Xenopus tropicalis: one gene and its partner. The protein of the gene in region 1 interacts with the protein of each later gene in a pairwise test. Links are inferred from orthologs where the notes say so. Each region holds a gene or a part of one and is shown on either strand. Other genes may lie near its edges.

Evidence for each region. The genes of interacting proteins can lie anywhere in the genome.
Region 2: the proteins of xpo7 (region 1) and uso1 interact in binary tests that used the Homo sapiens proteins (3 or more experiments, as listed by UniProt). The two-hybrid records come from large-scale screens. The link is inferred for Xenopus tropicalis from reciprocal best matches to the Homo sapiens genes XPO7 and USO1.

Annotation. Positions count from the first base shown.
Region 1 is NC_030679.2:129,471,547-129,475,065, reverse strand, and holds part of xpo7 (exportin-7), read right to left. Parts: intron 3,190-3,519; coding exon 3,043-3,189; intron 1,695-3,042; coding exon 1,601-1,694; intron 1-1,600.
Region 2 is NC_030677.2:79,457,718-79,461,236, reverse strand, and holds part of uso1 (general vesicular transport factor p115), read right to left. Parts: intron 2,984-3,519; coding exon 2,897-2,983; intron 1,930-2,896; coding exon 1,865-1,929; intron 1,179-1,864; coding exon 1,105-1,178; intron 1-1,104. UniProt on the Homo sapiens protein: General vesicular transport factor required for intercisternal transport in the Golgi stack; it is required for transcytotic fusion and/or subsequent binding of the vesicles to the target membrane.

The sequences.
Region 1 (3,519 bases):
TTAAGCCAGCAGAGAAGTACCCAATTGTGTTATACACATATACATTCATTACAATTGTTCAAGGTGTTTTTAAGTTATGTTTTGTATATGTAATTACAATTGATAACAGTGTTTGTCTGTCTCTTTCTATTCTCTGCCCTGGTGGCCCTGACTTTTGAAACAATGTGGCACAAGGCAGCCGAGTGACAGATCTGTCTTTGCCAAAATATTTCAGCCAGCACAAGTAAAGTGCAAGCAGGGCTTAGCCCCTGCGCGTTTATTCAAAAAGCAACGTTTCGGGGGCGTACCCCTTCGCCAGGCTAAGCCCTGCTTGCACTTTACTTGTTGTGCTGGCTGAAATATTTTGACCGGACTGTGTGGAGAGTGCCGACTCTAGGCTGTGCACCAAGTAGTAATTCTCTGGAGGAGGTAAGGGTGTGCTGGTGTAAAAAATTCTTTCCAATTGTAGATCTGTCTTTGCAACATTATTTAAAAAGTAATAACCAGTAGTTAAAGGGGTTGTTCACTTTTGAATAAACTGTTTGTATGATGTAGAAGAGTAATATTCTAATACGATTTGAAAATGGTCTTAATTTTTTATTACTTTTATTATTTTTTGCAGTCTTTGAATTATTTAGCTTTATGTTCAGCCACTCTCCAGTGTGGAATTTTAGCAGTTTTCTGGTTACTTTGGGTCCAAATGACCCTAGTAATGAGGTAGCCTCTCAGAACAACTGTTTTATGGGCTCCTGGTGTAAGTGATCCCCATTTGAAAGGGTCAGAAGAAGAAGGTTGTAAATAATTATAAAACTATAGTAAGACCAATTAAAATGTTTCTAAGAATAGGCCATTCTATAACATACTAAACCAGGGGTCCTCAAACTTTTTAGGGGTCCAGTTCACGGTCCCTCAGACTGCTGGGGGGCCGGACTATAGCTAGTCCTCAAACTATGGGCCCTCCCCCCCCCCCCGCTGAGTCCTCACCCCTGGCTACTTACTGTCTGCCTCAGCGTGGTCCTCGGCCCCAGGGTGTCATGTCACACAGGCCAACGTTAATGATGATGGACAGGTAGTAGCCAGGTGTGAGGACACAGCAGGGGCCGGGTAAATGACCTTGGCCCGCAAGCCATAGTTTGAGGACTCCCGTACTAAACGTTAACTTGAAGGTGAACAACCCCTTTAAGCAAATGCAGCTTTCAATAGCAAATACATTTACAAATAACTATAAGCGCTGAAAATCTGTAATGAATGGATACTGGAGAAGAGGCTTAGAATAACAATTTCTTTTATTAGGCAACCATTTATTTTTTGGGGTTTGCAGTAGCATCCTTTACAGGTTATTTGGATTCAGAGAGTCTACAGGCACTCAAGATGAGGAAAAGGGGGGAAAATGCCACCTTGCAGACAATAAAATAGGAAAATAAGGGGGTCCACATAGACATAATTATCTATAGACGGAACCAGTATCAATAACCTGTTAAGGAACTCTTTTAGAACTATTAGACTAATGTAATAATGTACAGGCAAAAGCATTTAAATTTCATCTGTTTCAGTCCCTGCCCCCCAGTGATATGGAAACTGAATCTTAGAAAGAAACACATGACAAGCTGCTGATACTCACGGATGTCAATCCTTTGCTCCAGAGGGAGGGGGTTAGTGCTTCGTGACACCAATTTGGTGAGGCAGGTGGCGGCCAGTAACTGAGAGTATGAGGACTGAGAAAAGAAGCAAAAAAAAAAAAAATAAGTATTTGTATGTGAAAAATATTACTAACCCATAGATCATTATATGAGCTTTGACAACTGTTTCCACACTTTACACCACTATAGTACAGTTATATGCATGTTCTCCATTAAATCCACTTTCTTGTAACTTTTAGTATGATGTAAAGACTGCTATTCTGAGATAATATGCAATGGTCTTCACTTTTTATTATTTGTGGTTTTTGGTCCAAATCACCCTACCAACCAGACAGTGGTTTGAATGAGAAACTGGAAAAAAAATAGGAGAGGGTCTCAATACAAAGATAACTAATACAAAATCAGAATAAAATCAAAGCTTTAAAGAGTAATTGTTTTTTGGCTGCTGCGGTCAGAAAGCTGGTCAGAAGTGGAAGGCAACTAACTCAAAAACTATTAAAAGTTGCCAGGAATTCTATAACATACGTTAAGTTACCTTATAGGTGAACTGCCCCTTTAAGGTTTTCAGACAATTTGGGCCTTACAAATGTTGCGCAATGTGGCCATACACTGGGATGGCCAAGCAGCACATTTCAGCCTTTAAGTCAATTGTTTTGTTAAAAACAGTTTGCAGTGAGACAAAGCTGACTACACCTTGTCCGGGTTTGAACTCGTTAGGTGCCTCCATTTACTTGTGCACTGTTATGCATCTCTGTGCAGGAAGCCCACCAATAGGTTGAAATACCTTTCAAGGAGGCACCCATATGTTACACACATACATTAAATCAGTGATCCCCAACCAGTGACTTGTGAGCAACATGTTGCTCCCCAACCCCTTGGATGTTGCTCCCAGTGGCCTCAAAGCAGGGGCTTATTTTTGAATTTCTGGCTTGGAGGCAAGTTTTGGTTGCATAAAAACCAGTTGTACTGCCAAATAGGGCCTTCTGTGGGCTGTCAGTCCATATAGGGGCTATCAAATAGCCAATCACGGCTATGAAATAGCCAATCCTTATTTGGAAACCTCATGAACATTTTCACACTTGTGTTGCTCCCCAAATATTTTTTTTTATTAGAGTGTGGCTCACAGGTAAAGAAGTTTGGGGATTCCTGCATTAAACAATTACACAGGAATGCTAAATTGAGATTCTGACCAACTTGCTAGCAATGTAGCACCCACAATAGCCCCACTTGCTATTGGAGAGATAGTTAGTGCAAGCAGCAGCTTGGCGGGACATAACCGCACAGTTCCACACGTGCACATATACGCCCTCTTGCCTTCCTATCCTGCCCTGTGTAACCTACATTTACCTTTCCCTATCTTACATGAATTATTACAAACTGTAACCCCCACTCCAAGGAAAAGCCCCAGTTGCCCCATACGTACACTTCCCCTCTCAAGCAACAGTTGGCATTTGCTTAGACACTCCGGGCTGTTAGTGAACTCCACAAGCGCCTTCTCAGCCTGCAGCCGGGTGCTGGTATCTGTAGTCTCATACAGCTGCTTGCACAGGATCTCTAGCTGAGCTAGACTCTACAAATAAAAACAGAAAGGATTACATTTAGTCAGAAAATCCACCATTTTAATTCCTCAAGCCAAAATAACATGTTTGTGGGAAAGAGAAACTGCCATCAGAAGCACATGATCCAATGAAAGCAGAGTCAGACCTACTCATGACAGTCACATGGTGAAAATGGAAGCAAACTTGCCTAATGCCAATACTAACACTCTACTGTGTGTTTATATCTCTGCTAGTTAGTTTCTTCCCAAGCAAAATGTTTGATATTTACTCAAAACACAACAATGATAACACATAATCTGAACTATGTTATTGTCTGGTCAGGTCACAGAAAAACAACCACT
Region 2 (3,519 bases), on another chromosome or scaffold:
AACAAATCGACCATAGTTTGTATAAATGTAAGAGGGACTTAATAGAGTGTTTACTAAAATTGGCAATTAATACAATTGATGTTTCCCATAGCAATCAATCAACAATTAGATTTAAACAGTCACCTATATGTTAGAAAACAAAAGTATATCACCAACGATATTTGTCGTCAATGTTAGTAAACATGGCCCTGGGAGGGGAATTGAAGTGAATAATATTCTCTGTAAAATGCTGTAGAATATGTTTATATGTAAGTTAATGATAATATTAATTGACTTTGATATCTTAGATATCCCTGGACCTACAGGATAGAGTTGTTTTCTATATCTATCACCCTGTTATGAGCTAAGGGGGCCCGACATTTTTTACCACAAAGGGAAGCCTAAGCACTTTTGGCTTAAAATGATTCTATTTTGAGAATGACAATTCACTCTATAAAGCATGAGGAACACGTTTTAGTTCCCAACCCTTAGTTTAGGAAGTCCTATTTTAAAGGATGGCTATAATAAAGCAGAATAAAGATAAACTCAATAACCCATGAGAAATTGTGCAGAAAATAAACTAGATTTTAAGGTGATCTAGACATAGGTGACTAGACTGGATAGAAGCTCATGGTTAGTGTGGTATGTACACCAAATTAAGCATGATCTGCTATCACCACAATGCAAGAAATACCCTTGTGTCAACTTTTTAAAGAATGTACGGTATCCTTCTAATAAATATACATATTAAATACTTGGGAAAAAATAATAATCTGCCTTTTATTATAACAGGAGGAATAGTGATGCATTTTGTAACTGGGAACTTCCTAGGGAAAATTCCTGCTTCTGGCAGACACACTTGTCCTATAATAGTGTAGAGCATTTGACATTCTATTTTGTGCCAATATTTTCCTAACCAAAATTCCTAAAGCGAGGATAGATAATACAATGCATATCTGGTTACATAACAGACAGGCGCTTTCTGTTAACTGCCCAGTATTATTCAAGTGCTTTGGATAAAGACAAATCAATGTGAAATAAGAATAGCTAAACAAAAAAGGTGCAACATATGTAAGATATAGAAACACCACATGAGGACTATACTAAAAAGAATAAAGTTCTTACCTGTTTCATCTGCGTCATTTGACATTATATTGTATAAAGTGTCCAAAGCATAACCAATTATTTCCGAGTCGGAACTGAAAGTAAAACATTAAGGTCAGATAAGTCTAACCAGAAAGAGTTTTTGCTAATTTCCTTCTTACTAAACACAAATAGAATAATTTCCCCCCAAAAAATGTTCTTGTACAAGTACATCCTTTCCTTGATTCTAGCTACACTAATATAACAATGTATTAAAAACCTATAGAAAAATATCTCTACATTCCCAAAGGGCTTGTTTTTAACATATAAGTGGGTCATTACAACCTACATGTACAGCTGCAGCCAAAAATAGTGCTGAGGTCCTTGTATCCAAAGCAGCTCCTGGAAGTGCCAATTGCATAGCACCTATTAGTTTGTTTTGAAGATTGTATGCAAGTGCTCTATTCATGAATAAAAGTTTTGGCCAGTAAATAAGATGATAGCAAAAGTCCGTTGCTATGGTTAAATTGGTTAATGAACCAAGCCACATTTTGCCAAGCTAGAGTTTGGCATGTGATCTGGTCACTTGGCATGGCATGACACTAATTTGCAGACCCGGGCACTTCAAGCAATTAACTCTCACCAATGCCAAAAACACACATAGGCAAAAGACACTTTTCAGTCTGGACAGACCTGCAACAATAGACTGATATACACTGTCCAAAAACTGGGGACTAGGTTAATATATTAAAACACCTTGTTTAGCCATATTTCCTTTATTCTGAGATGACTGATAGCTTACCGGTCTGTCTGTAGAACATTAATAAGATGATCCATAGCTTGAGTGGCCACATCGAAGCGGTATTTCTGGTTGAGGAGAAATAAACAATAACATATATATATATATAATATCTAATGCAGATGTGTTAGATCTGCAACAGACATAAACAGATACAGCAATGATTAAGTTCTGAGGGAAGAGGGACTGCAAAATAGCCAACAGAATAACAGTAACTAATGTCTGTCAAGCCAATTACTACAGATAAATGCTCTAAACTTTATCTACAATGACTCTTCTCACCTATCAACCCAGCTGTCTCCTGAAGAACTCCAGCTGAGGGAGTTCTCAGACAATAATATAAAAACCCATCACAACATCTATATAGAAGACCTGAATGATGTTATGGTGGAAATAGGACAAAAAATTTGCAAAGCACTATATAAACTGCTACAAATAATTACCTATGTTATTAGGTTTGAGACTGTTTTAAGCCAGTATTGCATATGTGTCTCATATAGTCAACGTTTAATTTTTGAAATGTAAGATCTGATAACATATAGATATGAAAATCCTCTTGGCTAATTAATCCAGTAGCATGCATACAAGGACATAGACAGGGGCAAGCCTTTTTGTGTCTCATACATGATCTTAAGTTTGAGTCTGAAATATGGAACCAAGCAAAAGAAATTTATAGGAGACTAGCAAATAGCAACTTAACATTTAAAGAGGTAGTTCACCTTTAAAATAGCAGAGAAATAGTTTTTGGCTGATGGGGTCAGTGACCCTCATTTGAGAGCTAGAAAGGCAGAAGAGGAAGAAGCAGAAAAAGTGAACCACCCCTTTAACAGTTGCCATGGAGAAATAAAGAAACATAAATCTTACAATTTTATGTGCAGAGTGAACTAAAACCTTCAGGAATTAAGTCTTGGATCTTGAGGACCTTAGTGCAAACATGTGTGTGTAAACTGACTGCATTAATCATAAACAGTGCTCACATATATCCAAATTTAGGGTCATAATAACACATCACTGGACAAAAAATATGAGACAAACCTTTGATAAAGATTTGAGGGCTCGTACTGCATCTCTTCGATCATCTAGTAGAGTGGCAGAGGCAACCCTGTCGCACAGCTTCTGGATCTAGAAAAGGATGATTAGATATATATCAGTTTTAACAAAACCAAAGGTATAAAATATGAATCATTTAGACATTTGGCAGTATAAACCATATTTCCTAATTTAACAAATATAAAATTAAATTGGTTTTTGATCCAAAAAGCCTTAAACTAAGCATTGAACTAAAATGTTCATTAAGGCTAAATTTAAACAGGGATTTATTAACAAAGCAAATAGCTACCTCAAAGAGATGAAAATGACTACAGTTGGTCAGAGATTTTGTTGGAAACTAAGCACATTACTACATTACTGACAGTCAAATACCCTAAAATCCAACACCTTACCATACAGACATTTACAATACTTTCCAAGCTAACTTACCTGCAGCGAGTCACTCACTATAGTTTACATATATACTTCAATACGAAATTAAGAGCGCAAAAAATTGCCCAGGCATTGTAACCCATAGCAACCAATAAGATCAATGCTTTTAAACAGGTGTCCAGTGAATGCTACATGGTGATTGGTAGGCATAGGTGATTTGACCAGTTTTAAAATTT